Linked DNA regions of Anolis sagrei. The protein of the gene in region 1 interacts with the protein of each later gene in a pairwise test. Links are inferred from orthologs where the notes say so. Each region holds a gene or a part of one and is shown in the gene's direction. Other genes may lie near its edges.

Region 1 (7,337 bases):
TCCTATTAACATAAATGTCCCTTCTGGGTTAAGGGTGCACAGGTGGTATTCAGACCACCACATAATCCTCTCAACAGTAGGGGAAAAAAGCAAGATCCCCTTAAAGGCCAATAAATTAAATTAAGTTTGCAAGAACGAAGTGAAGCTTTTCATGACAAGGTGACTTGGAGGGTTTTCGTTGATAGTGCCACCATGAGTCAAAGTTGACTTGACATCAATTTACAATCTTGACACATTGGAAGAGGAAAAATGGCAAATCTTTCACGTTAGATAGAACGCAAAACACTGTCCTAGCTGGTGCAAAGAATTTAGATGGGGCCCAAAAACACCTTTCCAATCTCTTTCTCTCTTGAACAGTGCCACGAGAAGAACTGTATTCAGCCCCCCCCGCCCCCCCCCCCACCACACACAGAGCTGTATATAATCCACATTGAACTGCATTATATGGCTGTGTGGACTCAGATATCTTAGTTCAAAGCAGATATTGTGGATTATCTGCCTTGATATTATATGGCTGTGTGGAAAGGCTCTCAGCAAAATCTCCTGCTGGGAGCCTGTGACAAAAGGGGCCTGTTCTTTGCAGAAGCCTTGTGTTCTGTGTGAAGCACAAAGGAGAACTGAGCTTGCAGGACAGTCCTATCTCATGCTTCAATTACCACACAGAAGAATGCTCTCTATCCTGAACACCATCATTAGCAGCAGATTTCCAGAGGAATCTTGTTTTGTCTTGTTCCCATACAAAGGCCTGCACTCAGCACTTGGCAGATACTGGTGTCCAAAAGTTATGGCTCTCTCCTCCCAGAGCCAACTTCAATTCTAATCTCCCTTCCCCTGTTTTAGATAGAGGAGCTGCCGTCATTCACTTGTACTTAAAGCGAGCATGGGCAAACTTTGGCCCTCCAGGTGTTTTGGACTTCAACTTCCACAATTTCTAACAGCCTATTAGGAATTGTGGGAGTTGGTGCAAAACACCTGGGGGAGGGGCAAAGTTTGGCCATGCCTGACACAAAAGTGTCCACATATTTGGCTGATATAGAAACACCGTTGCCTTCTGATCAATCACAAAATTATTAAAATTATAGGATAACATTACCTTCAGACTATACTATAATAATACTTCATTTGTATTCTGCCCTATCTCAAGGGGACTCAGGACAGATTCCAGCATACACAAACACAAAGGCGTAAATATTCAATGCCTAGAAACAACAGATAAAAGTAAAGGCTTCCCTTTCTGGCTCTGAGGGGTGGTGCTCAACTCCATTTCTAAGCTATCCTGCGGATTCAAACCGCCAACCTTCTGGCCAGCAAGTTCAGCAACTCAGTGGTTTAACCTGTTTCGCCACCATAGCATATATATAGTATATAGTAAAGGTTTCCCCAGACATTAAGCCTAGTAATATCTGACTCTGGAGGGTGGTGCTCATCTCAATTTCTAAGCTGAAGAGCTGGCATTGACCGTAGCCAATTCCTAGGTCATGCAGCCAGTATGACTGCATGGAGCGCCACTATCTTCCCACCAGAGTGGTACCTATTAATCTACTTCCACTCACATGTTTTTGAACTGCTAAATTGGCAGAAGCTGGGCCTAACAGCAGGAGCTCACCCCACTTCCAAAATTTGAACCACCAAACTTTTGGTCAACAAGTTCAGCAGCTTAGAGGTTTAACCTGTTGTGACACCATGGCCCCATGTCTATAAGATATATATGAAACATAAATAAATGTTGCATTTAGACTTGGGATGCCCTCTCCCAGATCTTCTCTGAGGCAATCCCTAGTAGCCTGAGGATGATAGCTCCAAGTGTAGTGTCTTGGCGGTGGATATGTAGGTGGCTATGGAACCCTATTCTTGATCTGCATATTCTCCCGCAGTGAGGACATTGGTTTCCAGGTGGAAGGCAGTCCCGGACAGGGTTGGCTTGACTCGCCTTCCTCTTGACACCTTACTCCCTCCATTCATGCCTCTTTGAATTCTGCAGCACTGCTGGTCACAGCTGACCTCCATTTAGAGCGTTCAAGGGCCAAGGCTTCCCAGTTATGTTTAGGCCACAGCTTTTAAGTTTGGCTTTAAGCCCATCTTTAAATCTCTTTAAAAACTTGGGATGCCCTCTCCAAGATATCTCATTACATACATATTCACAGTTGGAAGAGACCACAAAGGCCATCCAGTCCAACCCACAGCCATGCAGGAACACACAAAGCAACGCCAACAGATGGTTATCCAGGCTCTGCTTAAAAATCTCCACTGCGCTCTGAAGTAGCATATTCCATTGTATGTACATGCAATAAGTTATTATTTCCACCCAAATGCATTGGCTCTGGGGAAGCAGCTCTGAGGGCAGCCAGTAGCTTTGGCAGATGTCAACAGAACTAGGCAACTGGCCCTCAGAGATTGGAAAAGTTTTGCTTTGAACCCCAACTCTTTCAAGGCAAGAAAGGTTTCCTGCATCTAGTGCAGGCTTGGGCAAACTTGGGCCCTCCAGATGTTTGGGAATCCAACTCCTACCATTCCTAACAGCCTCAGGCCCCTTCCTTTCCCTCCCTCAGCCACTTAAGCCTGATAAAGGCATAACCAAAGCAAGGCACCCAGGCCTTTTTAAAGGTGGAAGCAAAACCCCCAGCACCAACTCACGCGCTGGGCCAGAGTGAAGAGAGAGGGAGGCAGGGGACAGTTCCATCTTGTCTCCTGCATATGTCATCAGCTGGGGACCCCCCCCCCCCCCAGCACCAACTGCCGCTCTGGGCCAGAGTGAAGAGAGAGGGGGCCAGGGGACAGTTCCATCTTGTCTCCTGCATATATCTTCAGTTGGGGACCCTTCCCCACAGTACCAACTGCCACTCTGGGCCAGAGTGAAGAGAGAGGGGGCCAAGGGACAGTTCCATCTTGTCTCCTGCATATGTCATCAGTTGGGGGCCCCTCCCCCCAGCCCCAACTGCAGCTCTGGGCCAGAGTGAAGAGAGAGGGGGCCAGGGGACAGTTCCATCTTGTCTCCTCCATATATCTTCAGTTGGGGACCCCTCCCCACAGCACCAACTGCCACTCTGGGCCAGAGTGAAGAGAGAGGGGGCCAAGGGACAGTTCCATCTTGTCTCCTGCATATGTCATCAGTTGGGGGCCCCTCCCCCCAGCCCCAACTGCAGCTCTGGGCCAGAGTGAAGAGAGAGGGGGCCAGGGGACAGTTCCATCTTGTCTCCTCCATATATCTTCAGTTGGGGACCCCTCCCCACAGCACCAACTGCCACTCTGGGCCAGAGTGAAGAGAGAGGGGGCCAAGGGACAGTCCCATCTTGTCTCCTGCATATATCTTCAGTTGGGGACCCCTCCCCACAGTACCAACTGCCATTCTGGGCCAGAGTGAAGAGAGAGGGGCCAGGGGACAGTTCCATCTTGTCTCCTGCATATGACATCAGCTGGGGACCCCTCCCCCCAGCACCAACTGCCGCTCTGGGCCAGTGAAGAGGGGGCCAGGAGACAGTTCCATCTTGTCTCCTGTGCTATTCTAATAATATAATAGAATATATATTTTTAATATTGTAATGTAATGCAACATAATAGGATATAATTATATATTTATATTACATGTAATATTACTAATAATATTACAATATAACAGTATAATACAATATTGTAATATATAATACTGATATTGTACTATGCTAATAATACAATATATTGTGTGTATATATATATATCTTGTAAGCCGCTCCGAGTCCCCTTTGGGGTAAGAAGGGCGTCATATAAATGCCGTAAATAAAATAAATAAATAAACCCCTCAGAAGACCTTTCAGTCCCATTTGCCTCACACAAAAGAACACCCCCGCGCCCCTTTCCCTTCTTCGTCAACGGCTAACGATTGACGCGCTTCCCCTTCTCAGCCAATAGCAGGAGACAGTCCACGCGGACAGGGCTCCCTTAGCCAATCGGGTTCCGTCTGTCCACGTGCTCACCTCGAGTGCGGGGGGGGGAGGGAATCCAGATTTCGGGAAGCCAATAGGAAGCGGCACATCCCTTGAGGCGTCACGTGGTCTGACACGAAAGGAGCCGCCAGCGAGCGGGATGATGTCACAGAGCGCAGTATAGTTCTCGTGATCCTTCCGCGGAGTGTTTTTTTTTTTTTTGGACGAGGGGCGCGTGACTCTCAATGGAGGAGAGCCCCGCGAAGTATTCCTTTATTTATCTCTAGATGGGGGCGCCAAAGCCTGTTTCCTCGAGTGAAGCTGTCTTAAATCAAGGGACGGGTTGAGCGGAAGGATTCTTCGTGCCCCAGAAGAAGAGCCGGCCGGATCTCGTTGCGCTATATAAGGAGAAGCCGAAGACGCCATTGTCCTCATTGTCGGCTGAAGTCTGCGAAGGAGGAGGTTCTGTGTGATTGGCGTTTGTGTGCGGCCTGCGGGCGCGGCTCAGACCAACGAGGCGCAGAGCGGTTTGAGCTTCCTCAGGCGCCGCCATGGCACCGTAGGGGGCGGCAGCGCAAGCGGCAGAACGGCCATTGCAGAGGCGCAGCAGAAGCGGCCGCGGCCTCGGCACCTCAAGGCACCTGCAGCCATGGCGTGAGTATGGCGAGCGAAAGAGGAGGTCATCTACACCAGGCCTGGGTCAACTTGAGCCCTCCAGGTGTTTTGGACTTCAACTCCCACCATTCCTAACAGCCTCAGGCCCCTTCCTTTTGCCCCTCAGCCGCTTAAGCGGCTGAGGGGGAAAAGGAAAGGGCCTGAGGCTGTTAGGAATGGTGGGAGTTGAAGTCCAAAACACCTGGAGGGCCCAAGTTGACCCAGGCCTGATACACTGTGGAATGTGAGTGGTGTTTGACACCACTTTGAATTACCATGGCCTCAATGATATGGCATAGTGGGGAGTTGTAGTTTTACAAGGTCTTCTACCTTGTGGGAGAAACTGGGTTCCTTTTACTCAGGTTTACAAAGAGGGAAAAAAGCAATGAGCTAATCTTCTGGGAATTCGCAATAGGAGGCGCAAAGGGAATGCAAATTCCCCTAGGTAACTCAATTAGGCTAATTAGTGGGCAAAGTTATTTCCCTTCACTCTGAAGGAAATTCCTGGGGAGCATAAATATTGCTCGATCAGCACACACAGTCATAAGATGCAAGGCTTCCTTTGAAAGCTGTCAGAAATACTAAATGATTTCAGAGGGGAAAAAAACAACCCACACAAAAAAAGAAGAAAAAGATATACAAAAGGGTATGCAAGTTTACAGAATGGTATTCAGTCAGTACTCGTTAAACATATGCAAAATCAATTTTGTACAATTATTATAACTTACCATTTATTGTCCCTCTAACCCCACACCCATGAACCCAACCCCCATGACCTCCCGACACCAGTTTTGTTTTCTCTATGCACCATAAACCAATAAAAATTATTTCAAAAACATACTAAATGATTTTAAAATTTAATAATTATACTAGGATGATTGTAATGTTTCATCTGTCATGTTTCGTAGTTTTAATGATTGTAAGTCAAAGGTATATGTAACAAATAGTTATGATTTGTTTTACTGTATGTTGGCATTGAATTTTTGCCATTAGTATGTTGTAAACTGCCTTGAGTCCCCCTCCGAGGGTGAGAAAGATGGTATATAAATACAGTAATGAATACAGTAAATAAATAATAACAGCCACGTTACTGTTTGCTGAAAACTAATGTATATTTTAGGTGATATTCATGAGTCTTACGTAAATGTTTAGAGTACACAGGAAATTAATCTCTTAGAAAGCCAAGAACTCTTGATGTCAAGAAGAGATTCTTTTTAGATCTATCATGGTTTATTTTAGTGCTGTCTAGAACAGCGCTAAATCTGTAGGTGGCTATCTTTCACCTCCATCCTTGTATATTGGCATTTCTCCACTTTTTGTCTCTGAAAGCCCATGTAAAGAACTTGGAATTTGTTAAGGTGCTTCTGCTCAGTGTGGATTAAACAGATAGTCAAAGGTGAAAACTAGTTGGACCAGCTGAAATAAAAACGTGGCAGGATATAAAATGGCGGCCTAGTTATAGGGTGGGGACGTGGACACGTAGAGCACGAAATGGCTGCAGCTGTTGTAGCAAATGAAGGCATGAATCAGGCGAAGGGAGTGGCGGGTGGAGCGTCTGCTCTGCTTCAGACCATATATGGTCATGAGGAAAGTCAGGAGGTGGGCGGGCAGAAGTGGAAACATTTGACAGCCCCTAGTTGGCGCCATTTTGTGGTTGAGCGGGTTGGTATGCAGAAGAAATCGAGTCTGGATTCCAGATGGCGCCTCAAAAAAACCCAGTCCTGGAATCCGGCAAACACTCCTGCTTAACTATAATGTATAAAATGCCTTATCCTACTGTAGGGGTAAATTCAAGGTCCTTACAAGTTGTCACCTTGGTAATCCCATTTTCTTTGCATTCCAGGTTTTTCAAAGCATTGCACAGCAGCTTTGCTGTTTTCGACAAAGACACCACCGATTTGTCCACCCTTTTCGACGACAAAGTACTGAAACTTGGCCAAGATGAGCTTCTCAAACACAGAGATGTTGTGGGGGGATTTTCTCTCCCCCTTCAACCAGCCGTGTTTGGGGGCTGAAGAAAGTCTAGGACTCTTAGATGACTACCTGGAGGTGGCCAAGAAGCTCAGTTCGCATGGGTTCTCCGGCGACAAGGCTAAAGTGGGCGCCTCCCATTGGCTGGCTGTGGACAGATTGAATAATGCCACAGACAACAGCCAGGGTAAGACCAGAGGGATAAAGGGATTCTGGAGATTGGGGAGTGGGGGAGGTGTTGGTCTACTAGTTCTGTGAAAGTGAAATGTGTTAGTATAATGGCAACTGGATATGATCTGATTGTGTAAATAGAAGAAATAAAAGGAAAGAACGTATTTTTGCAAAACGTTTAATTTTCTCAAATGATTTTTTTTCTTTTCCTTGACAGAGGATGCCTTCTCTGGCATGGATTGGATGGTGGAAAACATGGATCTGAAGGAGTTTGATTTTGATGTGCTGTTAGGTCTTGATGATCAGGAATCCACCGTCTCACCAGATGAGCTCATGGCCGCGTTGGAAGACACCTGTGATCCACTTGAGCCTCCCTTTCAAGAAATTCCCATTGAAGAAACTCCACTGACACCAGAGCAAATTATTGAGTCCCCAAAGCCCCCCACCAGCTCAGACCAGGAAGCTTCACCGAGCCCCTTGCTGACATTAGCCCTTTCTCCAGAGTCACATGTTGCCACTGCAGACAGCAGCCCTTTCACCTTAGAACTAGGCAGCGAGATAGATGTTCTTGAAGGAGACAGGAAAACGGAAGCCCATATCTTAGTGGTAATTCCACTAAATGTCATTCCAAAGTGTGAGAAG
Region 2 (8,108 bases), on another chromosome or scaffold:
GAAGGGAGATATTGACAAGCTGGTATGTGTCCAGAGGAGGGTGACTAAAATGATCAGTGGTCTGGAGAACAAGCCCTGTGAGGAACAGCTTAAAGAGCTGGGCATGTTTAGCCTGCAGAAGAGAAGGCTGAGAGGAGACATGATAGCCATGTATAAATGAGTGAGAGGAAGTCATAGGAAGGAGGGAGTGAATTTGTTTTCTGCTGCCCTGGAGACTAGGACGCTGAACAATGGCTTCAAACTACAGGAAAGGAGATTCCACCTGAACATTAGGAAGAACTTCCTGACTGTGAGAGCCATTCAGCACTGGAACTCTCTGCCCCGGAGTGCAGCGGAGGCTCCTTCTTTGGAGGCTTTTAAACAGGCTAAATTGCCATCTGTCAGGGAAGCTTGTTTTCTGGAGACTAGGGTGCAATGCAACAATGGCTTCAAACTACAAGAAAGGAGATTCAATCTGAACATTAGGAAGAACTTCCTGACTGTGAGAGCTGTTCAGCAGTGGAACTCTCTGTCCTGGAGTGTGGTGGAGGCTCCTTCTTTGGAAGCTTTTAAACCAGTGGTACTCAACCTGTGGGTCCCCAGATGTTTTGGCCTTCAACTCCCAGAAATCCTAACAGCTGATAAACTGGCTGGGGTGCTTTGAATGCAATTTTCCTGCTTCTTGGCAGAATGGGGTTGGACTGGATGGCCCATGAGGTCTCTTCCAACTCTATGATTCTATGAAACCCCCCTTCCACTTTGGGGGAAAGGGGTGCAAGGGGCCAGGGAATCGCTCTAGGATGGAGCCCCCCTTTCCACCCACAAAGAGCTCTCTCATTTCTGGCCTCTGGAAAAGCACATACCCCCCCACCCCAACAAAGAGCATAGACCCACCTCCAACTCCACAAATTTGGATTTTAATCTTTGGATTATGTAGCTCCCCTTGCTTCCCCCAATTCCTGGACTCTTGTCTCTCTTTGATTGTGCCACAAGCAGTTTCCCCTTTAAAAAATATTCAATCAAACTCTCCCCTCCCAGGCATTTCTGGTCTCTTGACTTTGCTTGTAGGAAAAAGCATATTGCCCTCCAAACAAAGAACTTAGTCCAGGCATGGACAAACTTTGGCATTCCAGGTGTTTTGGACTTCAACTCCCACAATTCCTAACTGCCGGCAGTTGAAAAACAACAATACTTTATTCATATTCACAACAATTCCCATACTGTGACTGACCCAGAATATACGTGTCCTAGGAATAAGGTGCACTTCACATTATTCCTAGCGGGAAATTACACCCCTTAACTTGTCCCTCCTGTGCCTCCCAACAGATAAATCACTCATTTTTAACAAAGCAAACAGACAAAACACAAAGTTTGCAAGCTTGGTAGTTGATTAAATGTCCTTTGACCAGTATCTGGCTACTTGGAGTGCCTCTGGTGTTGCCGCAAGGAGGTCCTCCATTGTGCATGTAGCAGGGCTCAGGTTGCATTGCAGCAGGTGGTTAGTATATTGTCGAAGGCTTTCATGGCTGGAATCACTAGGTTCTTGTGGGTTTTTTCGGGCTATAGAGCCATGTTCTAGAGGCATTTCTCCTGACGTTTCGCCTGCATCTATGGCAAGCATCCTCAGAGGTTGTGAGGTCTGTTGGAAGTAGGAAAAATGGGTTTATATATCTGTGGAATGGCTGGGGTGGGGCAAGGAGTTCTTCCCTGCTGCAGTTAGGTGTGAATGTTTAGCTGATCACCTTCATTAGCATTTGAAGGCCTGCCTGAGCCTGGGAAAATCTGTTGCTGGGAGGTGTTAATCTGGTGTTAAACAACAGAGAGGAAAAAACCAGGCACAGATTAACACCTCCCAGCAACAGATTTTCCCAGGCTCAGGCAGGCCTTCAAATGCTAATGAAGGTGATCAGCTAAACATTCACACCTAACTGCAGCAGGGAAGAGCTCCTTGCCCTACCCCAGCCATTCCACAGATATGTAAACCCATTTTTCCTACTTCCAACAGACCTCACAACCTCTGAGGATGCTTGCCATAGATGCAGGCGAAACGTCAGGAGAAATGCCTCTAGAACATGGCTCTATAGCCCGAAAAAACCCACAAGAACCTAGGTGGTTAGTAGTTTGCAGGGACATGAGAGAAGCCTCCCACAAGGATGGTAAAACATCAAGAATGTCAAGGGAAACCCTTTACCATTATTATTATTATTATTTATTTATTTATTTATTTATTTATTTATTTACTATTTTTGACTGTTACCTTTACTTGGAATAAAAGCACCCCCCATCTTAAAGAAAATTGCCAGGCCACCCCCACCCCACATTTCTGGACTCTTGTCTTTGCTTGGAGGAAAAGCATGTCTCTCCAAACAAAGAACCCCATTACCCCCATCTTCCAGCCCCCTCCCCTCCCCACCACACACACATGTTTTTTGGACTCTTGTCTTTGCTTATAGGAAAACATCTTTCCAAACAAGGAGCTTAGCCTCTTTTCCACCCTGACCCCAAATTCTGGACTATTTATTGTGCATTATCTGACACAGGCCAGTATGGCCAAAGTCCTCTGAGGGCTGTATGCATCCCTGAGCTCCTTACACTTTCAGTCTTTTCTTTAGTTGTAACACTGGCCAACACACATTTTGGTGCCTCAAATGTTAGACCTGTTTCTAGATATTCCAAAAATGGTTGCAGTTTTCCCCTATCAGTTCTAGTTTCTATGATACAGAACATACAACATTTATCAGTTGCCATCTGCTCACTCATAGAAAACAACGATAACCATATAAAAGAAACTAGAGCTGATGTGATCTATCCAATGCAGTTTTCAAGATCCCAAATAAGTCCTCTGAGTACCCTTCGGGGTGAGATGAGTGGCATATAAATGTTGTAAATAAATAAATCAATAAATAACCCCAGGAACAAACCTAAAATCCAAGACATCAAGACACATTTTTTTGGTTGGACTGTGTCATTCTTGCATTACTTTAATAATGTAGTTTGCTGCCAATGTGGAATACAGCTTGCTTATGTAGAAATGTATCTGTTCCCATCCTCACCTTCCAATTCCCCCTCTCCCCAGTGCCATACATGAGAAGAACCAAGCTGCAAGTAGTTGAACTCCTTAAAGAGCCCATATATCCTGACTGTGAGACCCACTTACCTCATGCCTTGGTCAAGGTGCTCTCTTTCATCTTCTGAGGATCTTCTACTCCTTTCCAATCCAACTAGGTGATCTGGCTCCTGTTTTTGCAAGACTAGCATCACTATTTATCATGTCAGGGGAAACCAAACAGTTATATTATATATTTTTTTAAAAAATACAAAGTTTGCAAACTTGGCATTCTATTAAATGTGCTTTGACCAGTAGCCAGCCACTTAGAGTGCCTCTGGTGTTGCTATAAGAAGGTCCTCCATTGTGCATGTGGCACAATCCGGGTGTCCCCTGGACAACATCTTTGTAGACAGCTGATTCTCTCACTCCAGAAACGACTTGCAGCACGCAACCAAACAAGCAAACCAACCAACGGACCTTTTCAGGACCAACCATGACTAGCATCACTGACTTCGAATTATCACATCAGTTTAATCTCCCCTCTGCCCTCATAGAACACAACTATTCTTCCCTTCATATCCTAATGAGGAATACAGTAGATACAGTATGTGTGATATATTTAGGGTGAGGTCTATTGCAGCATCAAGCATCATGGTTTTCCAAAGCCAATGGCACAGGTGTCCTCTTTTTAATCTTATTTGAGTGTTTTGGTGTTAAGTTCATGTTTTTCATGCACATGTTCTGGCATCCTCTCCAACACCTTTGCATTCTTCTACAGTCCTTTGTGTCATCATTTTAGGACAGGCTTCCTCCTTATTTCTTTGGAAGAGCTTTTTTTAAATAGAAGGTGTCCAGCCTCCCCACACAGCTGAGTTTTCACCCAGTCCTTCTTTTGGAACCTCAGAAACTTTGTCAGAGGAAGCATGTTGAAAGAAGCACTGTTGAATCCTTAATGGCTGCAATTTGGAGGTTGAAGAATGGATACATTGTATTTGTGTGCATGCCTTCAAGTCACTATTGATTGATGGCAACCCTGTGAATCTCATAGTGTTTTCTTAGGCAAAGAATACTCAGAAGTGCATTATACTCACCCACAAATGTCTGACTCTTGGCCATGGCAGCACATGTTTATAGAGGTTTGAAGCAGTAACAAAAGGCAAGGTGTGAAATGAAAGACTTGCCATGTTTTGTTCCCTTGGGATATCATCCAATAACACCAGAGATGCATTAGAACAGGCATAGGCAATCTTTGCCCCTCCAGGTGTTTTGGACTGCAACTCTCGCAATTCAGGAATTGTGGGAGTTGAAGTCCAAAACACCTGGAGGGGCGAAGTTTGCCCATGCTTGCATTAGAACCAATTGATGGTCCTTCTTACAGTTCCATCTTAGAGCATAAAAAGGTAAAGGTTTTCCCCTGACATTAAGTCCAGTCATGTCCGACTCTGGGGTGTGGTGCTCATCTCCATTTCTAAGCCAGAGCCGGCATTGTCCATAGACACCTCCAGGGTCATGTGGCCGGCATGACTGCATGGAGCGCCATTACCTATCTTAGAGCATAGACAAGCATTTTTTGAAGGATGGCTTCCATAATTTCCAGCGCTGAAGGGGGGTGTCACAATGGGTTAAACCTTTATGCCAGCGGGACTGAAGACCAACAGGTCAGAGGTTCGAATCCGGGGAGAGTGGGGATGAGCTCCCTCTGTCAGCTTCAGCTCCCCATGCGGGGACATGAAAGAAGTCTCCCACAAGGATGGTAAACATGAAGCATCCAGGCGTCCCCTGGGCAACGTCCTTGCGGACGACCTATTCTCTCACACCAGAAGCGACTTGCAGTTTCTCAAGTCGCTCCTTACACGAAAAAAAATCACGCGTGGCTGTGCTCACGATGGCTCATCCACACGTGCCAGTGGTCACTCCCTGTCGGTGCGTGCCTGGCCTCAGAAGCGATGGAGCCCCTTGAAGGAGACCTGTCCCTCCTCCTTCCGTGAGCCAGGTAGGACCCCCGCCCTTGGAGGCAGCTCCTCCTCCTTTTCCTCCTTGGCCGCTCCTCCTTCGCCAGCCGCACTTGCCTGTCCGGACACTCCGGGGTGGATGCGCCCCAAAGAGCCAGGTATGGGCTGGGCCAGGAGGGGGTTGCCTCGCTGCCCCCTCGCCCTTGGGCTCCCCTTCAGCCTGGGGCGGGGCTGTGGGTGGGGGCGCTTGGGCTCGGCTCCCCAAAGGACCCTCCTCTCCTTTGCGCCTCTCCATCACCTGTGCGCCCTGGAGCGCCAGGGAAAACCTTGCGTTCCCAAAGTCCTGGGGCGCACGGAATTTGGGGAGGAAGGGAAGGAGGAGGGGTCTTTCATTCCGGGAGAGGATCCGGGGCCATTTTGGAGGAGCGGGGACCCGTTTTGCAGAGGATCGAGGGGATCTGGTTTTCTTTGCCTCCAATCGAGCCTTTGCCAAAGAGAGCCTGATCTCCTGGACGCTCCAGATTGGCCCCAGTTCCTGCCAGGTGGGCATGCTCCTCGACCCCTCACCTTCCCGGGATTCTTCCTTGGGGATGCCCACCAGGGAGGTCTTTCCCCGTGGGAGCCAAAGTCCGACGCTTACCTGGATCCACAAAGCGAACACACCTGAGACAGAGAGAGAAACCGCCTCGTTTTAGGGCCCTGTCACACTGCACTGTGGTAAAACGCGTTGACTTCGTTTTAATCGCCATGGCAACATCCTGTGTCTGGAATCCTAGGGCTTGTCGTTTACTGAGGTTCCAGAGAGACAGAGGACCTCATCACACTAGAGAATGAATCCACTTTAAATTTGGTTTCTGCCTCCTGCAGAATTCTGGGGTTTGTAGTTTAGGAAGGAGCCTTTAATAGCCCCACTAAACTACAAACTCCAGTATTCTGCTGGAGGCAAAAACCGGATTTAAAGTGGATTCATTCTGTAGTGTGATGAGGTCTTCAGAACACCCTCTGACTTGGAGATTCCAAATATTCTTCCCAAAGGGAAGAATGACAATATTCCATAGGATGTTGCTATAGCAGTTAAAGTGGAACCCTAGTATTGTCAAAAGCTTTCATGGCCAGAATCACTGTGGGTTGTTGTAAGCTTTCCAGGCTGTATGACCATGTTCGAGAAGCATTCTCTGACTCCTGACATTTCGTAGGAAACCCACGGCCATCTAAAAGGAGATAGATGGCAACCCGCACCAGACTTGTCTGCTTTTTGTTTGTATAGAGCAACAATGTGAGGCAGTCTGACCTGGAGGGCCACCAGTTGCCCATCCCTCCTGTAGAAACTCAACTCTGGCCTAGGCTGACAAAGCTGTGGACGTAAATAGCCAAGAGTCACAACATACAATCATAGAGTTGGAAGATACCTCATGGGCCATCCAGTCCAACCCCCTGCCAAGAAGCAGGAAAATTGCATTCAAAGCACCCCCGACAGATGGCCATCTAGCCTCTGTTTAAAAGCCTCCAAAGAAGGAGCCTCCACTGCACTCCGGGGCAGAGAGTTCCACTGCTGAATGGCTCTCACAGTCAGGAAGTTCTTCCTAATGTTAAGGTGGAATCTCCTTTCCTGTAGTTTGAAGCCATTGTTCCGCGTCCTAGTCTCCAGGGCAGCAGAAAACAAGCTTACTCCCTCCTCCCTATGACTTCCTCTCACATATTATAAATGGCTATCATGTCTCCTCTCAGCCTTTTCTTCTTCAGTCTAAGCATGCCCAGCTCTTTAAGCCTCTCCTCATAGGGCTTGTTCTCCAGATCCTTGATCATTTTAGTTGCCCTCCTCTGGACACATTCCAGCTTATCAATATTTCTTCAATTGTGGTGCCCAGAATTGGACACAATATTCCAGGTGTGGTCTAACCAAGGCAGAATAGAGGGGTAACATGGATCTAGATACTATACACCTAGTTATTTCATAGTGAAGGAGAGTGTGAACCCTCCTTATTTTCAGGAAGGCCATTATGTAGTTTCTAACTTTACAATGAATTACTGCTCTGTTCTATTGCACCCTGCATTGCACTCCAAATGAGCAGATCCACTGTTAAAAATTTGGGAGAATAGCAGACATGAAAGCTAACCACCTGAAAGTCCCTGAAAGGAGGGGTTACTTTTGAAGTTTATGTTTTAGGGAAATCTAAACTCAGCCTTCCCTATGGTCCAGCTCTCACATCCATAGGTTACTATGGGGAATGCTATTGCTTTTACTATGTGGATCTTTGTTGCCAGTGTAATGTCTCTACTCTTCACTATTTTATCGAGATTGGACATTGCTCTCCTCCCAAGAAGTAAGCGTCTCCTGATTTCCTGGCTGCAGTTTGAGTCTGCAGTAATCTTCACAACTAGGAATACAATGTCTGCTACTGCCTCCATGTTTTCTCCCTCTATTTGCCAGTTATCAATCAGTCTGGCTGCCAGAATCTTGGTATTCTGATGTTTAACTGCAACCCAGCTTTTGCCCTTTCTTCTTTCACCTTGATTAGAAGGCTCCTCAGCAACTCCTCACCATGTTTTAACCATTTCCATTCCTTTTCTGTAGGTTGGTAGTACCCATCCTGCTTGGGGAGGTAGGACGATGAGTGAAAGTAACCATTACCAACAGGCAAATGCAGGTAGGAGACGTCGTGGAGGTGCAGCAAAGCAAGGTAAGTGTATGTCAGAAGCTGGCATGTTGGCTAGAAGATACTAGGAGTTGTAGCGCAACACATTGGGGGGAAGAAAGCTGTTTTTTCCCCTTCATGCCAGCATATCAGATGTGCAAGTGAGCATGACCTACTTCCATAGTAGTTTCTTTAGGCATTTTGTTATGGGTAGAGACCCTAAGAGTGTTCTGTACTGTAAGGAGGTGGAACTAGTGCTACCCAGATACTCAGAATTATATCTCTCATAAGCCACAAGCAGGATAATACTTGCCTTGGGGTAACGGGATCATATTCCAAAACATCTGGAGGGACACAAGCTCTAATTCTTCCTGTATGAGTATGATGGTAAGCAGGACTATATGCCTCCATCTCCCCAAACTATGTTCAAAAGCTGCTTTAGGATTGCTGTGAGTTTTCTGGGCTGTATGCCCATGTTCCAGAAGCATTCTC
Region 3 (8,352 bases), about 37 Mb from region 1:
AGATAAAGCTAGTGTCCGCAAGGATGATCAACGGCTGAAATCGGCCCGATGGTAAAGGATGGACACGCAGGTGGACAGCACAGTAAATTGAACAGCACAGCGGTCGGCACAATAGGTTGAACAGCACAGGTAGTCGGCACAATAGATAGTTAGTCAGCACACGTCGGACAACCAAAGTCGGTCAGCACAGCGTTGGCCTAAAGTTGGTAGCGTCGATGGCATACACAGGTTGGCCCCAGTGATGCTCTGGAGGGGTGCGATAACCGCACCACGAACCAAGATGGCGGCCGCGTCAAGACCTGGGGCGGCAACTCAAGCCACCCCGGGGTCCTAGCGCCGCACGCCGACAAGGCCAGCAAACTGTGAGTTATCCCGGCCCCAAAAGCTCCGGTCGACTAATCTGTGGTTTGGGAGGGAGCGTGCTCGGACCCAACTAGAGGTGGGCCTCGCTCCACCTCCACTCTTCTCTTCTCGGGAGCCGACTCGCACGGCTGAAGCAGCCAGATGTCCGAGGCTGCAGCTGGAACGCAAACCGGCTGGGCCGAGCAGGAGGGGGCGGCGTGGGTGAAAACAGCCCTCTCGGAGGTCAGTCTGCCAACCCGCTGGGCAGCCAAGCAGCCGAACAAAGCCTCCACTTCTCCGTCCAGGTACAACGTCCAAGCTAAGATTATCGAAGCTGGAGACTGGAGGGTGTAAGGGGGTCCAGAAGGGGTCCAGTAGCTGGGAGGTATGGAGCTTGGGGCCAACAATGGCGGTGGCCCAGTTGTCTTCTCCTTTCCTCCTTCCCCGTTTGTTCGTCTTCTTTCTCCGACGCTCCCCGAAACAGGTCTCCAAGCTCACTTTCGTGACCCTGGGAATTACTGTTTGTGTGGGGGCGGTTTTTTAAGAGTCCAAAAGGGGAAATAGAGCCAGAATATGGTAAATTGAGGCCCCTCTCTTACCCTGGGAAGAAGGTTCGCTGCTTACCACGCCGCCATCATTTTGAGTAATTTGTAGTTTGTAGTTTGTAAATAGTTCGACTTCAAAGAGCTCCCATTCAAACAAATAATTTACTCTTATGTCCAGTCTCTATGGGTAGCTTATTCAGCAAGTTTCCTTTCTTTGCTCTTTGCTCTTTCTTCCCTCCGTTTCCTTTATCTCTCTTTACTTTTTGTTTCTTTGTAACTCCAATTAATTAATCTTAATGGAGGCGGTAAGCCGCAATACCATCCCATTAGGTCGGCGTCCTCATTATTGTTATTATTTATAGTATTTTAATGTAATGCACTATAATGCTAATAATAATATGATATCATAATTATATATTTATATTGCAATTGGTATTACTAATAATATTAAAATATATTGTATGTCTATAATATACCTTGTTAGCCGCTCTGAGAAGGGTGGCATAGAAATGTCGTCAATAAATAAATAAGTATTGTTGAAGGCTTTCATGGCTGGAATCACTAGGTTCTTGTGGGTTTTTTCGGGCTATATGGCCATGTTCTAGAGGCATTTTCTCCTGACGTTTCGCCTGCATCTATTGCAAGCATCCTCAGAGGGAGTGAGGTCTGTTGGAATTAGGACAATGGGTTTATATATCTGTGGAATGGCTGGGGTGAGGCAAGGAGCTCTTCCCTGCTGCAGTTAGGTGTAAATGTTTAGCTGATCACCTTCGTTAGCATTTGAAGGCCTGGCTGAGCCTGGGGCAATCTTTTGTTGAGAGGTGTTAAGATGTGCCTGGTTGTTTCCTCTCTGCTGTTTTGCTGTTGTAATTTTAGAGTTTTTTTAATACTGGTAGCCAGATATTGTTCATTTTCATGGTCTCTTCCTTCAAATGGTAATGAAGGTGGTCAGTTGAAACATTCACACTTTGCTCCAGCAGACAAGAGTCCTTTGTCCCACCCTGGTCATTATTCCACAGATATATAAACCCATTTTTCCTACTTCCAACAGACCTCTCAACCTCTGAGGATGCTTGCCATAGATGCAGGCGAAACGTCGAGAGAAAATGCCTCTAGAACATGGCCATATAGCCCGAAAAAACCCCCAAGAACTTAGTGATTCCAGCCATGAAAGCCTTTGACAACCAAGCACAGCTTAATACCTCTCAACAAAAGATTTTCCCAGGCTCAGCCAGGCCTTCAAATGCTAATGAAGGTGGTCATTTGAAACATTCCCACCTAGCTCCAACAGACAAGGGTCCTTTGTCCCACCCTGGTCATTATTCCACAGATATACCAACCCCTTTTCCTAGTTCCAACAGACCTCACTCCCTCTGAGGATGCTTGCCATAGATGCGGGCGAAACGTCAGGAGAGAATGCCTCTAGAACATGGCCATATAGCCCGAAAAAACACAGAAGAACGTAATAAATAAGTAAACCAACATCCGGGAACGGGGCGGCCCCCAAGCAGCTGAAGCCCCTCAGCTTCGCTCTGGCTGCTCACGGGCACCACCGTTTGCGCATGCGCCGCAGTCCTCCCTCGCTCCCTCCCTCGGTCCTTTCCTGCGCATGCGCGAGAAGGCAGGCCGGCCAATAAGCAGTCAACCACCGGGGTCCTCGGACGGAGGAAACGTTTGTGCGCATGCGCAGCAAGCGCGTTGCTGCTGGCGGAGAAGAGGTGAGTGGGGCTGGGCCGCGACTCCGGGTTGGCGATTCTGGCCAGCGGATTCTCATGGGGACACTCCGCCAGGCCCTCTTACCTTCCCTCTCTCCGTCCCTCGCAGCCGGTGGAAGTGAACGGGAGAACGGGGCAGGGGAGGGGGAAGCGGCCCGCGGGCAGCAGGCTCTCCCTGCCAGGCACGCTCGCCTTGGCTGACTTAGGCTTCCGTGTGCATGCTTCTTACGTTGTGAACTGGGTTGGGTTGAGTGCCGTCGTTGATTGACAGCTCTGCCGATGTGTCCTGGCCCTCTGCCCGCCCCGAACCCCCCCTCCCCCCCCCGAGGTGAGAAGGGCCGCACACGAGGGCAGTAAACACTTAGAATCCTAGACTCCTAGAGTGGGAAGGGACCAACTCCTGGGCCATCCTCCAGTCCAACCCCATTCCGCCAAGAAGCAGGAATATTGCATTCAAATCACCCCTGACAGATGGCCATCCAGCCTCTGTTTAAAAGCCTCCAAAGAAGGAGCCTCCTTCCACCACACTCCCTCCGGGGAAGGCAGAGAGTTCCACTGCTGAACGGCTCTCACAGTCAGGAAGTTTTTCCTGATGTCCATGAAATGTCTGTATGTGTTCGGTGTGCGGGAATGGGGACCCGATATTAGCCAGGTAAGGCTAGGGTTAGGGTTAGGGTTGGAAGAGACCTCCTGGGCCATCTTCCAGTCCAACCCCATTCTGCCAAGAAGCAGGAATATTGCATTCAAAGCACCCCTGACAGATGGCCATCCAGCCTCTGTTTCAAAGAAGGAGCCTCCGCCGCACTCCGGGGCAGAGAGTTCCACTGCTGAACGGCTCTCACAGTCAGGAAGTTCTTCCTCATGTTCAGGTGGAATCTCCTCTCTTGTAGTTTGAAGCCATTGTTCCATTGCGTCCTAGTCTCCAGGGAAGCAGAAAACAAGCTTGCTCCCTCCTCCCCCCTGTGGCTTCCTCTCACATATTTATACATGGCCCTCATCATATCCCCTCTCAGCCTTCTCTCCTTCAGGCTAAACATGCCCAGCTCCTTAAGCCGCTCCTCATAGGGCTTGTTCTCCAGACCCTTGATCATTTTAGTCGCCCTCCTCTGGACACATTCCAGCTTAGAGTCAATATCTCTCTTGAATTGTGGTGCCCAGAATTGGACACAGTGTGATTCCAGGTAAAGTGGTCTCACCAAGGCAGAATAGAGCATGGGGAGCAGGACTTCCCTGGATCTAGGCACTAGGCTCCTCTTGATGCCTGAGGCCAACATCCCATTAACATACATAAACAAGGAGGCCCAATGGGCTGAGACTCAGTGGCAAGATCTTCATTGAAAGTGTGTGGCTCCTGCAAGGACAAAGGTTTTGCAGTTTGATAAACCTTTTCCATGTTTTTATGGCAGAACCAATTAGGAAATGACATTTATAACCCAAGAACATAATAATAATAACAACAACGTTATTCTCAAATGCCGGCCCATCTCCTCGAAGGCACCTGGGGCGGTTTACAGAACGGCAGAAAGGACCTCAAAACAAACCCTAAAAGGACGCACAATGTACAACACTATAAAAGAAAAGTGCTGCTGCAAACATGGCCTAGCTGTGAACAAGTGCAATGCAGGCATGTAGCTGGCCGGGGGGGGGGGGGGGGTTCAGCCCCCCCCCCCGAAATTCTGATGGTGGTCCGCGAGAAGGCCTTACTGGTGCATTATTTAAACTGCTATGTTTATTGATATCATGATCTGATCACTATACTCAATATATTCCATATGCATGATGGGGGTATTGGGGTAACGATGCAAAAGGTTTGCTAGGGTAGACCCTCTTTCACTCAGGCTCAGCCCCCCCAAACCGAACTCAGCCCCCCCGAAACAAAATCCTGGCTACGGGCCTGCAATGGGATAAGTGCACGCTGCAGCAATGGAGAGTGGGCATCGCATCAAGGGCAAGGATGTGCGGTGACTACTGCGTAGAACTACAAGGGACCGGGCATTCTCAAAAAAGGACAGGGCCCCACGGAAGGAGGGCGGGGGGGGGGGGCTGCCTCATCTCCCTGGGGAGGGCGCTCCAAACCAGGGGCCCCCACCACCACGAAGGAAGGCCCTCTCTCTCCCTCATCCTCGGAGGTGGGAGCGAGAGCAGGGCCTCCCCAGCAGATCTCAGAGCCCGCAGACACGAGGGTCCTGTGTGTTTATGCCGTGGGTCAGCAGAGAATTGGCTGCAGTTTTAAGATCAGCCCAAACGATTGGATGCCGTTCAAGTATGTTGTTTTGTTGTTATTTTATGATGTTTTAAACTTACTATCAATGTATTTGGATAGTTGTTTACATGATTTTAATATGTGGTAAGCTGCTTTGGGTCCCGTGAGGGAGAAAAGCGGGATATAAATCAAGCTTTACTGTTATTGATGACAAGTCTGTGAATCCCTGGCTCTTTCTTCCAGCCTCATCCTCCAGAAGCGCCTGTCTTGACAAAGGGAGCTGGGGGAGGGGCCCCTCTCTCTGCTTTGGGGCTCATCCACCCCCCACTACCTCCCCCCCCCCGGTGGCCATGGAGAAGTTTGGGGTGAGCTTTGGCGGGGGGCCCAGCCGGAAGGACCTCCTGGAGACGGTGGAGCAGCAGCGGGAGCAGCTGGCGCAGTACCAGGCCCGCCTGAAGGACGTGGTCCGGGCCTACAAGGGCCTGCTGAAGGAGAAGGAGGCGCTGGAGGCCAGCCTCAGGGTCCTCTCCGTGGCCCACCAGCCGCTGGACGACCAAGAGCCCGCCGGGCCGGGGGCAGTTTCTGAATTCGGCCTGGACGCCAGCGAGGACAGGAGCTCCGGCCAGAGCGAGGAGGACGGTGCGGGGCCCGCGGTGGAGGAGGAGGAGGCGTTGTCGGCATCGACGGCGGTGGGGGCGGAGGAGGAGAGCGGGAGCAGCGGCAGCGGAGAGGCCCCCGGGGAGGGGGGCCGGCGCGTGCTGCAGCTGAAGGCCCAGCTGTCCACGCTGACGGCCTCCCTGGCCACGGTCTCCCAGGAGAAGTCCCGGGCGGAGGCCTCCTTCCAGGCGGACAAGCGGCGGCTGAGGCAGGAGCGGGAGGAGGCCGGGCGCCGGGCCGAGGAGGAGCGGGCGCGGCTGGCGGAGGAGGCCCGGGCGGCCCGGGAGCAGCTGGCGGAGACCAAGGCGCGGCTCCTGGCGCAGCAGCACGACCGGGCCCAGGAGCAGGCCGACCACGCCGCCATGCTGCGCGAGCTCCAGCGCCTGCTGCAAGGGGAGCGGGCCCTGCGCCAGGAGGCCGAGCGCGGGCTGGAGGAGAGCCGGGCGGCCCTGGCCGGGAGGGCGTGCGCCGCCGAGCACGCCGAGGAGGCCGAGCGCAGGGCCCGGCGCCTGCAGAGGGAGGTGGAGGCGCTGGAGGGGGAGCTGGGGGCCCTGCGGGAGGAGAGCGCCCGCCCCGACCCCCAGCTGCAGGCCCTGCAGGCCGAGGCCGCCGCCCTCCGCAGCCACTTCCAGGCCCAGCTGCTGCAGGAGATGCGCAAGGTCAGCCCCCCGAGGGCGAGGGGGGGGAGGGAGGGGGGGCAGTGGGTTGGGCACCTCTGCGGGCATCTGCTTTAGGACCTGGGGCTGTCCATACGGGAAGGGGGGGGGGTTGGATGCAGGGCCGTAGCCAGAAAAAAATTTCGGGGGGGGGGGGTGTTGAAAATCTCAGGGGGGGGGTTGAAAATTTCGGGGAGGGTTGAAAAATTTTTTGGGGGGGGAGGTTGAAACCTGCCTCCTATCTCACGCTGAAGCAAAGAGCACATCTGCAGTGGGCAGAGCAGCCTTCAATAGCCTGCAGCTCCGCCCTTGTCAACCACCTCCACCAAGTCTGGTCTCCTTAATGAGAGCATTCAACACACACACACACAACTTGGTTGCTACACTTCATCGGCTATTGCTGCAAGTAATGGCAGTGTGAATAAATTGTCAATATTTGCTTGACAATCACCCCCTCGCTACAGGCCTGGTTGGATGTGCCTGTGAGTTGTGTATCGCCCAGTGTCCAGCCCTGGGCAGTGCAGTTGGAAGAAGCTCTTGACCAGGTGGGTGGGGCCACCAAAAGGGTCAGAGGTGTGGAAGGAAGCCATGAATCCTCCTTGAGTGCAGCTGTAGCTTCATGTTGACCCTCTCCCTCTTCTCCCCCCCCCCCAACCCCCAGACGGCCCACGCGGAGGAGCGTGTCCGTGCGGAGGAGGACCGCGCGGCCGGCCTGGAGGCGCAGATTTCGGAGGCCTCGGAGCTCCTGGGCAGCTACGAGAGGGCCAAGCAGAGGGACCAGCTGGCCATGCAGCGGCTGCGCGAGCGCCTCTCCCAGCTGGACCTGGAGAACAAGACGCTGGCCTTGGCCACCTCCGGCCGCTGCCCGGCGCCGGACGTCGGCCTGGAGGAGGAGAGCGGCCTGGACGCCAACGTGCTCCGGGACAGGATAGAGAAGCTGCGGGCGCTGCTCCGGGCGGCCACCAAGCGGGACCTGGGGGAGGGGGAGGGGGAGGGGGAGGGGGAGGAGGGGGAGGAAGAGGGGTCCCTGCGCAAGGTGGCGGGGCCGCCCGAAGAAGAGGCCGACGGGGAGAAGGTATCCTCGGCCGCCTACTACCAGCGGGAGCTGAGGCGGCTCAAGGAGGAGTTTGAGCACTACAAGCAGCAGCACGGGGGGCAGAAGGGCGGTGGGGGGCAGCCGGCCCCAGGGGGGGGGAGCGAGGGGGGCAGCGGGGAGGGGGAGCTGGCGGAGGCGCGGGCGCAGCTGGCGGCCCTGAAGGAGACCTACGTGGCCCTGCGGCTGTCCCACGAGGAGCAGGCCCGGCGGCAGCGGGAGCAGGCGGAGGCCCGGCGGCAGGAGGCGTCCCGGGGGCAGCAGCGGCAGCGGGAGGAGGTGGAGCGCGCCCGGCGGGAGGCCCGCGAGGAGGCCCTGCGGCTGGAGGAGGAGCTGCGCCGGCAGCGGGAGCGCGCCCTGGCCGTGCTGGCCGAGAAGGAGCTGGAGCTGGAGCGCCTGCGGGCCCTGGCCTGGCCCTACGCCGCCGGCCCGCCCCCGGGCCCCCCCCGCCCCCCCTCGCCCTCCCTGCCGCCGGCCCCGCCGCCGGCCCCCTCGGCCCCCCAGGAGGACCTGACGCAGGCGCTGCGCCTCTCGGGGGGCCCCGGGGAGCCCCCCTTCCTGCTGTACACGGAGCAGCTGGCCCGGCGGGCGGTGGAGCTGGCGGGGCTGAAGCGGGAGAAGCGGCGGCTGGAGGGGGAGGCGCGGCGGCTGCGGGAGCGGCTCCTGGCGGCGGAGGAGGCGCACCGGGAGGAGCTGGGGGCCCTGCGGGAGCGGCTGCGGCAGAGCGCCCGCGAGCAGGGCCGGGAGGGCGCCAACCTGGAGTACCTCAAGAACGTCTTCTTCCGCTTCCTGACGCTGGCCGAGGGGCTGGGCCGCCAGCAGACCCTGGGCGCCATCCTGACCGTCCTGCACTTCAGCCCCGAGGAGAGGCTGGCCGTCATGGGGCCCCCCGGGGGAGGGGCGGGCGGCAGCGGGGGCGCGCACAGCGGGGGGTGGTGGGGGGCCTCCGGAAAGAGGTAAGGGAGGGGAGGGGCCGCCCCATCCCACCCCACCCCACCCACTCCCCCCCCCAAAGGCCAGAATTGGAGGGGGGGGTAGCGGTGGTTGGGTTTCCAATCATGCCGGGGGTCTGGGCTTCCATAATTTTGGTGGTTCCTCAATCGGGGCGAGGACAATTATGTGGAAGGTGCCCCCCCCCCTT
Region 4 (7,729 bases), on another chromosome or scaffold:
GCATAACCTAATGAGGTGTAATGGTGCACACATTTATTCCTCTTGCCTCCTCCATCTATCTCACCCATTTTCTTTTTATTCCTTCCATGCCAATAGAATTTACCAGAGAGGATCCTCATGGGCAGGGCATTTTTTGAAGCATTAAACTTGATGGTGTACTAGACTTTTTAAAATCATGTTAGAAGCAACTTGAGAAACTGCAAGTCGCTTCTGGTGTGAAAGAAATGGCTGTCTGCAGAGATGTTGCTGGATGTGTTAATATCCTCTGGGAGGCTTATCTCATGTCCCCATATGGGAAGCTGGAGCTGACTGACAGGAGCTCAGCCTGTCTTACGGATTTGAAACGTCGACCTTCAGGTCAGCAGTTCAGCTGCCACAAGGGTTTAGCCCATTATGCCACCACTGCTCCTACTATGTACCAAATAATAAAAATAGAAATAGGGGTTGAGGACTTTGAATTTCTTGTATGTTGTGGCCCTTGGGGTGCATCTACACAGTGGAATTAATGTAGTCCCGCCTCACTTTAAAACTGCCATAGCTCAATGCTGTGTTTACTTTGAACATGCTTGGTGTAACTTTGCCTTTGGATTATGATTTTAAAGGGGTGTGTGTTTGTGTACTGTATACTATTTCCTTGCATTTGATATGTGAGTGTTCTGTACGTGCATCCATAGAGAAACTTCTATCAAGGAGTTCCTTTGCTGCTTAGCATTTTGTTGACTTACGTGTACCAATTCTGGGTATACATCATGTATTAGGTTTGTATTCTGTCAATGTAGGACAAGACATTTCGTACAACTAAATTAAATGCCATCCCCAATACACATTATACACTCCCACAAATCCTAACAGCCTACCAGCTGTTTGCCCAGGCCTGCTATAGAAGAAGCAGGAACACACACAAAACCATCCATACTAAGCACCAAAGGGAAAAGCAACCAACGGCAGCAACTACGTGCACATCCTCTCTTGACATTGGCTATGCTCGCTAGGCAGATGGGAGTTGCAGTCCAACAAAATCTGGAGAACTACAAGTTCCCATCTGTATGTTAGTTATTGTTTCATATTTCTATAAGGAGGCATTGCTAAGAATCACCATATACATGTTCAGATACAAAACCAAAAATAAGTTCTTCCACAGGACAGCTTCCCTTGGGATTTGGAAAGGCTGGGAGTTCTTCCGAGGCAACAGATCCAGGCGGGGCTTTGGGTGCCTGGAGAGTGAAACTCGCCTGCACCTACAGTTCTGAAGGGAAACACCTCCATAGGACACACTTCCCTCCAATAGTCCAAAGTGGTCTAGCAGTTTACTGAGCATTACTGGATTTCATCCCCAGTCACAGTAACTCTGAGAAGGCAAAGTTGTGCTTTCTCGGCTGAGGCGGCCCCGCCAAAGGCCACCCAGCACACTAAGGGCCCTTCCACAAAGCCCTGTATCCCAGGACATCAAGGCAGAAAATCCCACAAAGATATACTTTGAACTGGGTTGTCTGAGTCCACACACAGATAATGTGGGATTCTCTGGGATATAGGGCTGTGTGGAAGGGCCCTGTCTAGGGTTGCATGTACACTTAGAATCAATGCAGTTTGACACTGCTTTAACTGCCATGGCTCCATGCTATAAAATCCTGGGAGTTGTAGTTTCACAAGACCTTTAGCCTCTTCTCCAAACTGCATCCCCCATAATTCTATAGCATTGAGCCATGGCAGTTAAAGTGGTGTCAAACTGTATTAATCTACATCCCAGGGAAATCTTTTGGCTCCAATCCGAGGCAGGAGATGGAAAGGACTGATGTGGTAAAAACAAAATTTATTTATTTATTTATTTATTTATTTATGACATTTACATGCTGCCCTTCTCACCCCGAAGGAGACTCAGAGCAGCTTACAAGATATATATACACACACATACAATATATTATATTGTATAATATATATTGTATAATAATATATTTTATTATTAGCATAGCACAATCTCAGTATTAAATATTACTATATTGTACTATTCCATTATATTGTAATATTATTAGTAATATTACATGTAACATAAAATATATAATTATAATATATTTTAAGCCCCCAAAAGGCCAGAGACATATCTATAGACAAAAATGTGGCCATTAGTATCAACATCCCACTTGGAGCCCTTCTAGACAGGCCCTATATCCCAAGATCTGCTCCCAGGTTTTCTGTTTATCTCAGATTATCTGGCAATGCGGACTTATATAATCCAGTTTAAATCAGAAAACCTGGGATCAGATCCTGGGATACTGGGCCTGTCTGGAAGGGCCTTGAGTCCAATGGAGCTTTTGTTGTTCTTGCGTGCCTTTACGATGACATATGGAGGCCCCTTCCACACAGTTGCATAAAATCCACCTTTTATTTATCGTGTCATCAGCAACCAGACATTTGTATTGCATTTTTAACAAAAACAAACAAACAAACAGACAAAACACAGAATTTGCCAGCTTCGTAGTTGATTAAATGTCCTTTGAGCAGTATCTGGCCACTTGGAGTGCCTCTGGTGTTGCTGCAAGGAGGTCCTCCGTTGTGCATGCAGCAGGGCTCAGGTTGCATTGCAGCAGGTGGTCTGTAGTTTGCTCTTCTCCACACTCGCATGTCGTGGATTCCACTTTGTAGCACCATTTCTTAAGATTGGCTCTGCATCTCATGGTGCCAGAGCGCAGTCTGTTCAGTGCCTTCCAAGTCGCCCAGTCTTCTGTGTGCCCAGGGGGGAGTCTCTCATTTGGTATCAGCCATTGATTGACGTTCTGGGTTTGAGCCTGCCACTTTTGGACTCTCGCTTGCTGGGGTGTTCCAGTGAGTGTCTCTGTAGATCTTAGAAAACTATTTCTTGATTTAAGTCGTTGATGTGCTGGCTGATGCCCAAACAAGGGATGAGCTGGAGATGTCACTGCCTTGGTCCTTTCACTATTGGCTGCTACTTCCTGGCAGATGTCAGGTGGTGCAATACCAGCTAGACAGTGTAATTTCTCCAGTGGTGTAGGGCGCAGACACCCCATGATAATGCGGCATGCCTCATTAAGAGCCACATCCACTGTTTTAGTGTGGTGAGATGTGTTCCACAGCAGCAGAGTAGCATAGCACAAGGGCAGATGTCTTCACTGTGTTGGGTTGTGATCCCCAGGTTGTGCCAGTCAGCTTTCGTATGATATTGTTTCTAGCACCCACTTTTTGCTTGATGTTCAGGCAGTGCTTCTTGTAGGTCAGGGCATGGTCCAGAGTGACTCCCAGGTATTTGGGTGTGCTGCAATGCTCCAGTGGGATTCCTTCCCAGGTAATCCTCAGAGCTCGGGATGCTTGTCTGTTCTGAAGGTGAAAAGCACATGTCTGTGTTTTAGATGGATTAGGGATCAGCTGGTTTTCCCTGTAATAGGCAGTGAGAGCACCTAGAGCTTCGGAGAGCTTCTGTTCAACCATCTCAAAGCTCCCTGCTTGAGCAGTAATGGCACGATCATCAGCATAGATGAAACTGTCTGTCTCTTCTGGCAGTGGCTGGTCATTTGTGTAGATGTTGAACATGGATGGGGCAAGCACGCTCCCCTGAGGCAGGCCGTTCTCCTGTTTCCGCCATCTGCTTCTCTGGCCCTGGAACTCAACAAAGAAGCTCCTGTTTCGTAGCAGGTTTCCTATGAGGCGGGTGAGGTGGTAGTCCTTTGTGATATTATACATTTTTCTTTGGAGGAGGCGGTGGTTCACAGTATCATAAGCCGCTGACAGGTCTATGAAGACAGCTCCTGTGATCTGCTGCCTTTCAAAGCCATCTTCTATGTGCTGAGTCAGGTTCAGCATTTGCGATGTGCAGCTTTTGCCTTTCCTGAAGCCAGCTTGCTGTGGGATCAGACAGGGGTCTATTTTTTCCATAATTCTATGCAAAATAAGTCTCTCCAGAACTTTGTAGAGGTGGCACAGCAGGGAGATTGGTCTGTAGCTTTTTGGGTCATTGCGGTCTTTGCCTGGCTTCAAGATGGCGATGAGTCTCTTGCTTTCCTCCAGATTTTGGGGATCTGACGGGATGCCGTGCAGTTGTTCATCAGCTCCGGCAGCCAGCGCCTTGCTTTTGGGCCAAAGTTCTTGATTTGTTCCACATTGAACAAACCCACATTGAACAGTTTGGACTCAGATAACCCAGTTCAAACAGACCTCACAGCCTCTGATGCAGGGGAAACGTCAGGAGAGAATGCTTCTAGAACATGGCCATACAGCCTGGAAAACACACAACAACCCAGTGATTCTGGCCATGTTAAGCCTTCCGCAAGACATCAAAGAAGATATCTGGGTGGGAAGGGGCCCTGAGAGGGTGAAATTGGCCTCCCTAAGATCACGCAGCGAGGGGATTCGACCCCTGCTCCCCCGAGTCCCGGTCCACGCTCAGCCCACGACGTCACTCTCCCAATGGGGAAAACATGCAAACGCGAGCACCCTACGGACGTTCCAACCCGCGTCCCGGCTGAGCGTGGGCACGCCCCCTCCTTCCCTCCCTCCCTCCTTCCCTGGCCTGCGTGCCTGCGTGCGTGCGTGCGTCCCTCTCCCCTCCCCCGCCCATGCCCGCTCCCTCTGACGCGCGGCTCCCTTACAACTCCCCCTCCCGCGGGCTGTTTACTGGAGCACGAGCTGCCGAGCAATGAGCTCAGCGCCCACCCCGCCCTCTCCTTCTCCGCCGTGGGAGGGGCGGAGACACTCGCGGGCGCCGCGGCCAATCAGGGCGCGCTTCCGCCACCGCCGCGCGCGCGGCCGGTATAAAAGGGACCGGGAAGCGCACGCTGGAGCTCAGAATACTCACTCGCGGCGCCGGGCGGCACCCAAACCCCAGCAAGCGCAGCGGCAACAACAGCCTCCACCACCACTTCCCGCTTCTTCTTCTTCTTCAGTGGCCGGTACGGTACCTGCTCCTTTTAGCTCCTTTTTGCCAGTGGGGACGAACGGGTGGAAGCCGCCGGAAAGACTGGGGAGGGACGCAGGCAAGGAAGCAAGCCAGCGGAAGCGGTCTCGGGAGCCGAAGCGCGACCCACGCCCCAAGCCAGGCCCGGAGGGAGGGAAGCCAGCAAGAAAGAAAGGAAGAAAGGAAGAAGGAAGGAAGGCAGGCGAGCCAGCGAGCGAGCGAGCGCGCCCCACTTCCTTCTTTCCTGCCCTCCCTTCATTCCTTCCTTCCGCCCTCCCTGCCTGCCTGCCTGCCCTTCTCTGATGTGCACGAAGATGGAGCAGCCTTTCTACCCTGACTCCTTTCTCTCCGGCTACAGCCAGGACTACAAGGCGCTGAAGGCGTCGGGCATGGCGCTGAACCTCTCCGCGGAGCCCTCCTCGTCGTCGTTCCGAGGGCTCAAGGCGCCGCTGGCGCACCACCCGCCGGCCCAGCACCCGCAGCTCCGCGCCCAGGAGGACTTCTTCCCGGCCGGCCTGCCCCCGCACCCACCCTCGGAGGGCGCCAACGCCGTCAACTCGCTCAAGCTGGCCGCGCCGGAGCTGGAGCGCCTCATCGTCCAGAACGGGAGCAGCAGCGGCGTCATCGCCACCACCCCCACGCCGCCCGGACAGTACTTCTACCCGCGCGGCGCCACCGAGGAGCAGGAGGGCTTCGCCGACGGCTTCGTCAAGGCCCTGGACGACCTCCACAAGATGAACCACCTCCCGCCGCCCAATGTCTCCCTCGGGGCGGCGGCAGCGGCAGCGGCGGCGGCATCCGTGGCCTCCTCGACGGCGAGCAGCGGGTACGGGGCCTCCTCGCTCCCGCAGGAGCCGCCCCCCATCTACACCAACCTGACCAGCTACAACCCGCCCGCCCTGAGCGGCTCGCCGGGCTTCCCGAGCGCCAACCTGAGCTACCTGCCGCAGCACCTGAGCCTGGGCGGGCACCACCCCCACGCCCACCACCCCCACGCCCACCACCCCCACGCTGCCGTCGCCCCCGGGCGGGGCTTCAAGGAGGAGCCACAGACGGTGCCGGACGTGCAGCAGAGCCCACCTGTGTCACCCATCAACATGGAGGACCAGGAGCGCATCAAGGTGGAGCGGAAGCGCCTGCGGAACCGGCTGGCGGCCACCAAGTGCCGCAAGAGGAAGCTGGAGCGCATCGCCCGCCTGGAGGAGAAGGTCAAGAGCCTCAAGAGTGACAACGCCGGCCTCTCCAGTGCTGCCAGTGCCCTGCGCGACCAGGTGGCCCAGCTCAAGCAGAAGGTCCTCAGCCACGTCAACAGTGGGTGCCAGCTCCTCCTTACTGCCAAGATGCAGCAGTCCTTCTGAGAGATGATGGAGACAGAGACAGAGAGCGAGAGAGAGAAGAGAAGGGACTCTCATGCCAAAAGTTTACAAAGGGACGGAGGGGGGAAGTCCTCCTCCTCCTCCCCTCCCCCCATGTCCGTGACTCTCAATCTGGTGGATCCAGAAGCCGACCTGTGCTGAGTGTGTACGAGTTCTTTTTCTAAAATCGCTGTATGTGAGAGTGCAATTGTGTGTTTGTATTTAAGACGAGACAAAAAGACAAGGAAGCCTTCCTCCGCCCGCATTGCTGGATGGTGCGGCGGAAAGGGAAGGGCGGATGGACGGACCGGGGCCGCCTGCCTGCCTGACCTCCTTGCCCTGCCAGTAGGAACAAAAGGGACGCTCTATTTATCCCCAAAGCCCAGAGGGACCAGAGAAGAAGAGGGGCCCGGCTGCACTTCCGCCCTCTTTCTCCTCCTTTTGACTTATGGACTAGAGAGAGAGAAAGGGCCCCCCCCTGTGGAGCCCCTGCGAGGGAGGAGGGGGTTGTTTACTACTTGTGCTCTTATTAGTTCTTCGGAGTCCTCACATTCATTTCCCCCCCCCCCCTTCCCCTGAAACTGATTGTATTTGTGTTTTGGAATTTTTATTGAACCTATTTAAGTAAACATGTTCTAACTACTTTATTTATCTGCGTACTTCTTTTAATTGGAGACAAAATGGGGCTTTTAGTGGGTGGGAAACTTCCTCAAAGTGAGTTCCATCAGTTTTGGTTTAGGAAAAGCCATTCTGGTTTCCATTTCGAGGGAAGAGAGAGGTTTGTTGTTATTATATTTATGTGTTTCTAGTCACTCTAAGTCAGGTATGGGCTAGCTTGGGATCTCCTGGTGTTTTGGACTCCAACTCCCACCATTCCTAACAGCCTCAGGCCCTTTTCTTTTCCCCCCTCAGCCACTTAAGCAGCTGAGGGGGAAAAGGAAGGAGCCTGAGGCTGTTAGGAATGGTGGGAGTTGAAGTCCAAAACACTAAGAGGGCCAAGTTGACTCAGGTCTGCTCTAAGTTGTACTGCTTTTAGCAGTAGCCTCTTTGAGTCTCTCTTTAGAGAGTGGGATAAACAACAACAATCATAACAGAGACCCAAAGCAGCTCACAGTCCCACTAAAAACAATACAAAGAGGCCTGGATCTCCATTAACTGTTGGGCAACAAACTTAATAGCTCTGCTGCTTGGGTGCTTTCCTGCCTTTGCTTCCTGGTGGATCCATGGAGGCTTCTTAACCTTCTCTGCCTTGTCTCCCTCCTCCCTCCTAATCGATGAGATCCGAGCTTTCTTTGCCTGCGTGCCTCGCTTTGCCTCACGTCATATTTCGGAGGGGTTTTTTTTGGTGCTGAGATCTTTCTCTCCCCCCCCCCTCCTTCCCCCCTCCCTGAGTTTTTCCTTTTGATGTCAAACTCGGAGCTTTGATGCGCTTCGAGAGCCCGCGTGAGCTCTGTCTCTCACGAGGGAGGGG

Evidence for each region. The genes of interacting proteins can lie anywhere in the genome.
Region 2: the proteins of ATF4 (region 1) and CCDC106 interact in binary tests that used the Homo sapiens proteins (3 or more experiments, as listed by UniProt). The link is inferred for Anolis sagrei from reciprocal best matches to the Homo sapiens genes ATF4 and CCDC106.
Region 3: the proteins of ATF4 (region 1) and GCC1 interact in binary tests that used the Homo sapiens proteins (3 or more experiments, as listed by UniProt). The two-hybrid records come from large-scale screens. The link is inferred for Anolis sagrei from reciprocal best matches to the Homo sapiens genes ATF4 and GCC1.
Region 4: the proteins of ATF4 (region 1) and JUNB interact in binary tests that used the Homo sapiens proteins (3 or more experiments, as listed by UniProt). The link is inferred for Anolis sagrei from reciprocal best matches to the Homo sapiens genes ATF4 and JUNB.

What each region holds. Positions count from the first base shown.
Region 1 is NC_090025.1:163,051,115-163,058,451, reverse strand, and holds the start of ATF4 (cyclic AMP-dependent transcription factor ATF-4), read left to right. Parts: upstream 1-4,306; 5' UTR 4,307-4,553; intron 4,554-6,396; 5' UTR 6,397-6,494; coding exon 6,495-6,711; intron 6,712-6,912; coding exon 6,913-7,337. UniProt on the Homo sapiens protein: Transcription factor that binds the cAMP response element (CRE) (consensus: 5'-GTGACGT[AC][AG]-3') and displays two biological functions, as regulator of metabolic and redox processes under normal cellular conditions, and as master transcription factor during integrated stress response (ISR).
Region 2 is NC_090026.1:17,860,890-17,868,997, forward strand, and holds the start of CCDC106 (coiled-coil domain-containing protein 106), read left to right. Parts: upstream 1-4,784; 5' UTR 4,785-5,021; intron 5,022-5,038; exon of another isoform or gene 5,039-5,138; intron 5,139-5,266; exon of another isoform or gene 5,267-5,522; intron 5,523-7,555; 5' UTR 7,556-7,591; coding exon 7,592-7,661; intron 7,662-8,108. UniProt on the Homo sapiens protein: Promotes the degradation of p53/TP53 protein and inhibits its transactivity.
Region 3 is NC_090025.1:200,499,710-200,508,061, forward strand, and holds GCC1 (GRIP and coiled-coil domain-containing protein 1), read left to right. Parts: upstream 1-5,028; 5' UTR 5,029-5,155; coding exon 5,156-6,121; intron 6,122-6,779; coding exon 6,780-8,171; 3' UTR 8,172-8,197; downstream 8,198-8,352. UniProt on the Homo sapiens protein: Probably involved in maintaining Golgi structure.
Region 4 is NC_090022.1:111,655,666-111,663,394, reverse strand, and holds JUNB (transcription factor JunB), read left to right. Parts: upstream 1-4,832; 5' UTR 4,833-5,205; coding exon 5,206-6,261; 3' UTR 6,262-6,905; downstream 6,906-7,729. UniProt on the Homo sapiens protein: Transcription factor involved in regulating gene activity following the primary growth factor response. Binds to the DNA sequence 5'-TGA[GC]TCA-3'.